2 linked regions of the Bombyx mori genome follow. The protein of the gene in region 2 binds, or shares a complex with, the protein of the main gene of each other region. Links are inferred from orthologs where the notes say so. Each region holds a gene or a part of one and is shown on either strand. Other genes may lie near its edges.

What was found. The genes of interacting proteins can lie anywhere in the genome.
Region 1: NIF3-like protein (region 2) and MIP18 family protein galla-1 share a complex: the UniProt entries of both Homo sapiens proteins name them as parts of the CIA complex. The link is inferred for Bombyx mori from reciprocal best matches to the Homo sapiens genes CIAO1 and CIAO2A.

The regions. Positions count from the first base shown.
Region 1 is NC_085134.1:8,478,673-8,484,009, forward strand, and holds the start of MIP18 family protein galla-1, read right to left. Parts: upstream 3,474-5,337; 5' UTR 2,763-3,473; coding exon 2,618-2,762; intron 2,535-2,617; coding exon 2,271-2,534; intron 1-2,270. UniProt on the Homo sapiens protein: Component of the cytosolic iron-sulfur protein assembly (CIA) complex, a multiprotein complex that mediates the incorporation of iron-sulfur cluster into extramitochondrial Fe/S proteins.
Region 2 is NC_085116.1:9,600,849-9,606,154, forward strand, and holds the start of NIF3-like protein, read right to left. Parts: upstream 3,251-5,306; coding exon 3,123-3,250; intron 142-3,122; coding exon 10-141; intron 1-9. UniProt on the Homo sapiens protein: Key component of the cytosolic iron-sulfur protein assembly (CIA) complex, a multiprotein complex that mediates the incorporation of iron-sulfur cluster into extramitochondrial Fe/S proteins.

The sequences.
Region 1 (5,337 bases), on a different chromosome or scaffold from region 2:
TATTAAAAACAAAATAAATGTAATTACTATTATGGTTTAATGAATAAGGTGAGCACCATATTTACAATTCTTATATTCCAAGATTCTCTACAACTTTTTTACTATCTCTACCTCTACATTAAATTTGTAAAGTCATATTTTCTTTTTCAAGTATGGCAACCAATGCGGAAATAAAAGAATAATAATTAATATTGGCATAGATAGTTTTTTTTAACATCGGATCAGCAGAGAAGTTCTGGTCTACCTGAATTTAAGTGGAAACGATAGTCATAGGGCTGTGTCCACATCTCTGCTTTAAAACACCTACTTGTATCACACTATTTGGAAATATTTATGAGTCTGCTAACCCTAATCAATAATGTTTTGGCACAAAAGTTAATAAACATGTTGTATGTTTACAAACTATTATCACAATGTTGTTTCAAATATGACCTTCACAAACTGTGTCATGGTCTTTGAACCAAAAAAGTAATTTAATTTTTTCTTAAATTTTCTTGAACTATGCTGTGATTAATAAGATGGCAAACAATGTGTTTCAATGAAGTCTATATATATTATACGGTAGACTAAATGTACCTATATATATTGATCGTCATTTTATTTAATCACATAATGTGCTTAATTTGCATAAAGTAGAAGTCAGAATTTTGTATTATTACAGCTGTCACATTTTTCAGTATGTATGAAGTACACAATTTCAGTATGTGTGTAGTACCAGTAAGTATGAACATTTTGTTTACCCTATATGGTGGTATTTAACCATGCAGGGTCAGTTTTCTAGCTGTTGCTGAAAGACTCCAAAAATTCTAATTAAAAGTGGAAAACTCATAAACAACACCTTCATGACTGACCTGACAGTGTACTAGTCATCCCTCTGACTATTAAGCCGAACATTATGATTACTAGAACATTATTATATTGTATTATTATAACCGAACACTACTAATCGGAATGAAATTACAACAGAACAAATATGATTGCTGTTTCTAGACTTTATTAAGCTATATCAGTCAGTTCATTTGTCTGATGTTTTTCAAATTAATTTTAATAACTTTTTACTAGTTTACCACCATTAAGCCCCAATATTTTACTAATGCAACTACTACTGCAAATAAACATTTAACTCTCTTAGTAGAATAAAGACAAATTGTCTCATCGTTAACCTGATGAAGCTATTGTGGGTTATTAAGGAACGTAGCTAATTTTTTGTTTTGTTATCTGTAACAATCAAAGTACGGAAAAAAATCTAACCTCACTGTAAATAAGCTTATAAAAGAGTTGTGAGGTGAGTAGGTAATCTTTACTCTGATACACATTCCTCTAGAATTGTGGAATATTTGTAGTGAGCTAGTGGTGCATGTTGGATCACTAGTGATCTTGAGTGAACTACGATAACTGTAACTGTGGTTTTGAATTTTTTTTCCATGACAAGGTTAGTTCTTGATTTTGAATAAAATTTATGCATTTTTAGGGTTACACATTGATCTTTCATCAATATATAGCTCTGTGGATATCATAAAATATCGAAAATACTTTGTTCACATAATTCATTGGATACACATATTTAGAAGAAGAAAATAGCTTCGTGATAGATCACATTAATAAAGATTCAGAATAATCATCTCAGTACAATTTTTCTGATGATGATGCAGAAGCAGCAGAGCAGAAATGAACAAGAAGAAAGAGTTATAGTAGATGGAGAGATTGGCAGAAATTTATTCTTTGAAAAAAGCATTCTCTTGTAATTGATTTTTTTTTTAATATCTCAATTTGTTCAAAAGTTATGAATTTTTAATCAATGACTCCATTTTAAGGAGGTGGGTATGTTTATGATGATTAATAAAATCCTCATTTAATTTTTTTTAATCTTCATCGTGTGCTCAAGTTTAAGTATTCAAGAGTTTTCAGGAATTTAATCAGATTTTTTATTACAAATTACGTTTTCTAATGCATCTCAGGTCTTCAGTGACCCATGATAACCTGACAAGGTGCCAAAAAAAGTGATAACCTGATCGGGTTAATTTATTGTAAACATTATATTGGTAAATTATTTCACTATCTTGAACAGAAATAGATGTAAACATAAATAGTTATTAGCTTATATTATTAGTTAATAGCGTATATCATTGCTATTGATGTTAATAATATAATCATAAAATTATATTATTTTTGTATTAAATAGTGATGATTTTTTTTCCACTAAACTTTATAGTGCAATGCATTTTAGATCCAATGATACATTTTCTAAACTAACAAATTTCATCGCTTACTTTCATCTTCAGTGGTATGTGCCCCTTTCTTGATAAAAATGTCCAATTTCACAGGATGATGGATAGACCTTAATATTTTAATACGAATGCAAAGTCCGATTAGTGTGGCCAGCGAACAATGGGGCACTGTTGGATTATACTCCACACGTAAAACGGGCACTTTATCTGCAGTTGGTTCCTTCACAAAGATTCCTTCCTCGTACACGACCTTCAAGTCTTCAAGCGTATTTGGCTTTTCGGGGTCTCGAATTGTCCTCAAATAGTCTAAAACACACCACAGCACACATTAAACACGCAAATAACACAAAAAGTTCGTGCAAAACCACAAATTTATGTTGAAAACAAACCATATATTGTCTCTCTCAACTCATTCTCGTCTTTGTAGCCGAGCTCTTGTAATGTAGCACTTTTGTCCATATATGCGGGCTTAGCGACCTCCACTGGCTGTTTTGAAGAGTTGTTTAAAGATAGTTTGGAGAAAAATGATATCATATTATCGTTCAAATTAAAATTATCACGGGTCACGATTAAATGTCGGACATATTTATTTTTTGACAATTGTAATTGCTGACCTCCGTTTTTTTTTTCACTTGTATCTGCTATTGTGGCAATACTTTTAAGTCCATCTTAATTTTTTGTCGTCTTCAATAATGTTCTACAGAATTTACAGATAGTATTGACAATTTAAAGAACTTAAACTAATTTTACAACAATGCAAGTAACTTTGTCCATAAACGAAAGCCGGTTTACGAACGATAGTTTTACGTGATAACGCCATTAAGATAATTGTTCGAACTGTTAACTCTGACGTCACGTGAGTGGGAAAATAAAACAGAGGCGCTGGACGTAACTTCTCGAGATCCTCCAAAAAGTCCACTGAAAAAGTCTCCGTAAATAACCGCCATTTTACTGAGATTATATTTCATCCCATGTCATTTTATCTCATCTCATTTCATTTCATTTCATGCAATGCCATGTTTCATATTAATCAGCTTCATTTCATTTCACTTCATATTATCATTTTTCATATACAAAAAAGTGATAGTGCAATTTTCATCAAAATTTAAATTGTCTTAAATTAAAAATAAAACCTTTTAATTTAAAACTATTTTAATTTACCAGGACATAAAATCACTTAAAAAAAGACGCCACGCGAGAAGACAGATAAATGTGTCACAAGCCAACGCTTGGGCCGATCGTGCCTCTCTATCGTTTGTTCCGCGCTCTCGCTTGCGCGCTCAGGCTCAGAGGAACGTGACACTCTTTCGTGCGTGCAGGCGGCGTACATCGATTTAGACGTTAACACATCCAAAAACCATCAATAATTGATGTAGACAAACATTAGACAAAGCTTTAATGACTGAAACTTCAAGCTGGTGGCTTATTCATGACGCATTGCCAAAAGGAATGGATACCTCAAATGAGGCTACAGTATACAAAAAAAATAGGCCTTTTATTTTTATCTACATCCAAACAACCTTGAATCAAAATTAAGAGCCTGCATTCACCACTATATTGTCGCTAAACTACTACAATACATTTAATTTTTATTTCATTACCTACATAACGGTGTATCTTTTGCTTAATTGAATAAAAAAAGTTTGTTATCTGACGTGAAACACAGTTTTCTATTTAATAAAAGAAATATTCGTATTTTTTCATAGCCAGTGTATTCCGTCGTGTGGAAGCGTCGATATTAGTAATTGACTGTATTAGAAGATCTCAGGTACTTTACCATCAACATATTGTGATGGATCTATTTTGCATATTTTTATTAGCATAACTTATATCTAACTAACTGAATCTTTAATAAGGAGTAATTTTAACCGAATTAAGATTAACCTTGATAATTAATTAAAACCTTGACATCAAATGTTACGACTATTTATAAATTAGAGTTCTTAAAAAATATGTTACAATATATTGTAATAAAAAAAAATCATTTTTTTTACTTTTAGTTTCTACGATTTAGTTTGGCTTACTCTTGAAGTGTTTGTTTGTTTTTAAATTTATATTTATTCTAGCTGACAAGGCAAACGTGTTGTCTTAAATAAATTTCTAGAGAAATTCTAGTGTAGAAAAAAAAACCTAATTCAACCACATAATACCTCACAATAACAAAATAAAATTATTCAAAAAAATGTGTGCGTGTACTAGTGTACACACGTAAGAAGTGAAACTTGTTTATGGCCTTATTTTTCGAAAAATGATCTACATGCAACTTTCTAGAAATTGGTTAAATAAAGTTAAATTAGATAAAGTTTAAACAAAAGGATTTTATTATCATAGACATGAATACAAATAATACAATTATTTCACTTTACCTTTTTGCTACTAAGATTATTACAGCATTTTAATAATACATCTCTTTGATATCATAATACCCTGGTACTTTTCTTCCTATAAATTAATAATAATAGCACGGTCCACGTGGTGTTAAATGGGGTTCCTGAGGTTCGTGAAGTTTGACCCACCTTGAGACATGAGGTCGATTTCTCAAATCCGAAACCATGCTTCAGAACATACCGCCGTTAATTATTAATAAATCTCTTTGCTATCATAATACCCTGGTACTTTTCTTCCTATTATTTTACGTAATAACAGTAATAAATAGCACGGTCCACGTGATATTATTAAGTGGGCTCCCTGAGATTATTGGAATTACAAAATGATTTCCGTAATCCACCTGGAGACATGAGGTCAATTTCTCAAATCGGAATCCATACTTCAGAACATACAGCCGTTAATTAATAAAGAAGGCTGTACGTCAGAGTAAAGTTATAATAATACATCTCTTTGATATCATAATACCCTGGTACTTTTCTTCCTATTATTTTACGTAATAACAATAATAGCACGGTCCACGTGATATTAAGTGGGTTACCTGGGATTATTGCAATTACAAAATGTATTCCGTGACCCACCTTGAGACATGAGGTCGGTTTCTCAAATGCGCATCCATACTTCAGAACATACAGCCGTTAATTAAAAGATGGCGCGTAACGGAAAAATGTGACGCGTAACCGAAAAATGTGACGGTAAATTTTTTTCCAACGCCGATAAGGAA
Region 2 (5,306 bases):
AATAATTACCGCTGAACAATAGACTTCAAAGGCGCAAATATCGGAGGATGATATGAAATAATCATCTCACACGCCAGAATTTCAGCTTCCAAGGCCACATCTTCTGTTAAGTCGTTAGTTAACAAAATTTTGGTTATTTGTCTGGAATTGAAAATTATAAAAAAATATTATATTTTAAATAGGTAATTAAAAACATAAAGAAAATTAATTTAAATTTGTCAAATTAACTAATGGAAATTTATTTAAAGTATTTTTATAAGTTTGGCGATTATATGTCTGAACTTACAGGCATTTGACTTTAGCTGGTACCACTTCTACATCATCAACTCATATTATAGTTGCATCCTCACTTTGTGTTCTGTATAGATCTTTCTATAACAGGGGAGTGACTTTTAGTCCACACTGGTTGTGTTTGAGAATAGACTGTATTTTTTAAATCTTGTGATTCGCAAAAGTGCAATGGGCATTGGCCATGTAATTTTATTTATTTTTATTAAAAAGGTTTTCGAGGAATAGGTTAGCTGATTACAGAAAACCAATTTTCAATGAAATAATATAATATAATTATATATGAAAAATAATTATATACCCATGTTTTAATCAAACATGTTTGGTAATCCTCAAATAATGTCATCATTGGCTTTATTCAAAGAGACACTTTAGCCTATATATTTTATATACCCTACATACGGCTGAATTGACAGTTTATAATTTGAAACTTCAAAGCACATACAATTTCAACCCAAAGCATGAAGGTAATCATAACTTTAATACTTAAGACTTATCTATCAATTCTATGTCTTCTTCTTCTTATCAGCCCACAGACGTCCACTACTGGACACAGGGCTCCCCCAAGTCTCGCCACAAAGACCGGTCCTGCGCTGCCTGCATCCAGCAGATTCCCGCGAATCTCAATAGATCGTCGTTCTATCTTGCGGGAGGCTTGCCCACGCTACGTCTTCCGGTACGCGGTCGCCACTCAAGAACTTTCTGGCCCCAACGGCCATCCGTTCTACGAGCAATGTGCCTTGCCCACTGCCAATTCAACGTCGCAATTCTTTGGGCTATGTCGGTTATCATGGTTTTCCTGCGAATCTCCTCATTTCTGATTTATCTCGCAGGAAAACTCCAAGCATAGCCTCTCCATTGCTCTTTGAGTGACCTTGAGCCTTCTCATAAGGGCCATTGTGAGCAACCACATTTCAGAGCAACACACACTGATCAAAGACTTTCGTCTTGAGACACTGTGGTATTTGTGATGAGAAGATTTACGTAGCTTTCCGAACGCTGCCTATCCAAGCTGGATTCGACGATTGACCTCTTTTTCGAAGTTGGACTTACTTAGCAGGACAGTGTGTCCCAGTTAAATATACTCGTCAACAACTTCGAGCGTAGAGCTTCCAATTTTTACTGGAGTGGGCGCTATATGAACATTCAACATAATTTTTGTTTTTTCCATGTTCATATTCAGGCCCACTCGGATAGAAGCCCTACTGAGGTCTTTGAGCATTGTACTAAGGTCCTCCAAGGTCTCGGCCATAGTCACAATATCGTCGGCGAACTATGTACTCGCCGATGATGTTTATGCTAGCCCTTTCCAGTTCAGAACTTTGAAAATGTCTTCCAACGCAGCGGTAAATAGTTTCGGAGAAATAACATCTCTGCAAGACTGCATAATCATCTCGCGACGTTCTTCCATGAGTTTGAAAGTAGGGTCTGAGAGTTTTTTGGTTCTGTTTGCACGACGGGTTCCAAAAATCTTGGAACCGATCGTATGGACAGCATTCACAAACCCGTTATTGTAATCGTCCACGGAGCCTCCTAGGCACTCGAAGCGGTTTTGAAGTTCGAGCTGAAAGTGTCTAGAACTTTGGATCTGAGCTGGTGCTGAACGGAGCGTAGACCTCATAACTCGGAATCTCTCAAGGTTTATTGAGGTTCATTGTGCCTCTTACCACCCGATGATCACTTCCGGTTTTAATCGTATTGATCACAGAGACATCATAATAAAATCTGCGACATAATAAAATCAATCTCATTTTTGATAGCGCTATTGGGGCTCATCCAGGTCCACTTCCTGTGACCCCGTTTTCTGAAGAGGTCATCATAAATAATTCTTTCTTCTCCATGAAATCGGCAAGTAAGTTTCCCTGGTGATTTCGATGCCCAAATCCAAATGGTCCTACTCGCAGCTCCCCTTCGCACCGTTTACCGAGTCTGGCGTTGATATCCCCCATGACAATGGTGAAGTGAGTTGTAGAGCTATGCATGGCTCTGGAAATGTCCTATTACATAGTCGGAGCGTAAACCTGTATTATCTTCAACGAATACCTTTTGGTGATTCTGAGTACAAGGTACAACCACTCTGGTCGATACACTCTCGATTTACAACACATTATTCATAGGGGACTTGTGGACGATAATCCCGACACCACCTTAAGACAGATGATCACCTTCCCGAAAATAGAACAAGTTACCGGACCTCAGAATTATCGTTTCCTCTCCCTCTCTTCGGACTTCAGATAAGCCCACAATGTCCCACCGTAACCTGCTCAATTCCTCCTCGAGTTCCACAATCTTCTCATCGGTCCGCAGTGTTCGCGCGTTATATGTTGCCAGGTCCAATCGTCGTTTTTTACGTAGCCGGATCTCTGCCGGAGATTCTTAGCACCCCCTGCCCCGCCGTTACCTTGACCGCTACTGTAGCCAGGAATAGCGGAGCTGCCGAGGACTGGGCGGTTTTTATTTGTGTCAGACATGTTGGGAGGGGTTTCCATAATCGCCACGCTTGGCATGCGGGTTGGCGATCGCAGTATGCTGTTATGATACTCAGAGAACGTTGCCGCTCATTCTCTGGATAACCCGTTAGTCGCCCGGTATTATTCTTTATCGAGGCCACACCACACGGACACCACACGGCCAATTCTGTGTAATCCTCTACAATAAGTCTAAAGACTAAAGCAATACACAGTAAGGCTTAGCATCTCTGTCATTACCAGTTTCTATGTGAGGCAGTAGCTACCTTAATATAATTATTATAATAGTACATAATTTTAAATGAATAACATTTTTTTTTGTTACTGCTAGTGGGTATTTGTAGTCAAGAATAAATTTGCTCATACCTCGGTGTGTAAGGTTCCACCAACAAACCAGTGTTATCCCAACTCTCTGCCAATTCTTTTGGAGCAAATTTTTCAAGTACTGTTACTACTCTTTCCAAAGACACTGCACAGAATTTCTCAGTTGACATTTTGATAAAATGTGTGAACAAGTGATTCCTTGAATTTCTTGACTTTAAAATGTGCCTGCCTAACTGAAAGAACATTAGTAATATCTGAAAAAAGTTTAATTTTTAAATGTAAAATTTACTAATAAATTTGAAATAAAACATTGTTAAAAAATTAAATTTTACCAAAAGGCATTTTGAAAAGATTCAGTGAAATAATAAATGCTGTTTTTCATCATTATTTTAATCCAAACTTTATTTCCTTTTTCCTTATCTTTAAAACTAACTACTCCATTATAAAAACAATTAACTGATGTTTAATTTATAAATTGGAATTTTATAATGCCACTTTTAATTTTTAATATGGTTTGTAATAGTTTAATATGGTATATTGTGTAATAATATAGTACTTTAGTGTTTTGTTAATTCATATTATAAGACCGTTTCTTATACCAAAAAAAACCTGACTGTGGGTATTTTGTATAGTTCAATGATTGGATCTAAAGAAGTTGATATTTCATAATAATTGTCAGATTTTCAAAGCTTTCATATTTAAAAAAAATATGTAAGCCCATGGATTATATCAGCAAGCCAGTGCAGTGTATACCAAAACATTTTATCTATGTTATAATGTTTTTTGTTATTTTTTTTATTAGTTATTTGGGTTATGTTCGTGAACAATAATACTAAATCATGTTTTCAACAATTATTATAAAGACTGAAACTTATACTGTATTTACAATACATTTATATCTTGCTAGATACAATCACAGCTAATGTCTTGTGGCATAACCTTAATATAAAATTATTATCACTCCTTGTTAGATTTTTTGATCATTTCTATTTGATCTTTCTGTCAATAATTAGTTACTTTAAGCTTCTGTAAACTTCCATATTTTTATTTCTCCATCATCACTACAAGAAAGCAGTTCTTGATTTCCTGAAGGATTCCAAGCTACACAGTTTACATCTTGAGAATGAGCATTTTTCTTTGTACAAAGAAGTTCAAAAGTGGGAGCATTAGGATCAGAATCTTCACTCTCTTTAAATATTCTAATGATATCATCTCCACAAGCAGTAGCTATGAGGTCAGTTTTATGACACCAAGCAATATCATAAATACATCGTGTGTGAAATCCAGAGAGTGTACATATGCATTTCCAGACTGCCTCTCGATCAGTCACCACAACACCTTCTTGATTATCAGGTTTGTATTCTTTCCAAATTTTTACAGTTCTATCGTCACTACATGTCGCCAGTCTTTCTCCAGTTTTATCAAATGCCAAACTCCAAACTGTTGACTCATGCGAATGTAGAGTGGCAACACAAGTCCAATCATTATCTACAGGATCTTCTTGGTACAGTTTTACTGTGTTATCATAAGATGCTGATGCTAAGATATCTAGAGAAGGATGCCATGCAACCTATAAAGAAAATAATATAATTTATCCATTCATTATATGTAAGAAACACAAACTCAATTTTGTTTATTCATGCACTAACTTTCTTCACATCCTGATTGTGAGCATTAAGTACAGCTTCACACTCGTATTCATCTTCTCCAGCTACTTCCCACACCCAAACAGACTTATCTCTTCCACAAGTAGCCAGGAGATGGCCTGAAGGTGACCATGCTACACTTTTAACTTCATTTTCATGGCCTTCTAAAGTTGCATTGCATTGGAATTCACCTATAAAGTGTTACTCATTTTAATTTTGGATGTACAAATTCTTCACAGGGTCACAAGGGAAAAATACACACCACTTTTTTTATCCCAAATTGCAGTAGTCGCATCAAAACTGGCTGAAGCGAGGAAATTACCGCAGGGTGACCAGGCTACTTCCCGAATTGTTCTCTGATGTCCATCGACAAGTACAGTCTTAATCGCCCAATCTTGTCCATATTTACTCCATAATTTTATAGTTTTATCTTCACCACAAGAAGCAAAATATTTTCCAAGTGGATGCCACGACACATTCCAAACTATACCCTTGTGTCCGGCCAGATTTTGAATCAGTTCCAGTTTAAACATTTTAAGCGTTTATTCTATTTACTTATTTTGTATAATAATGACGTCAA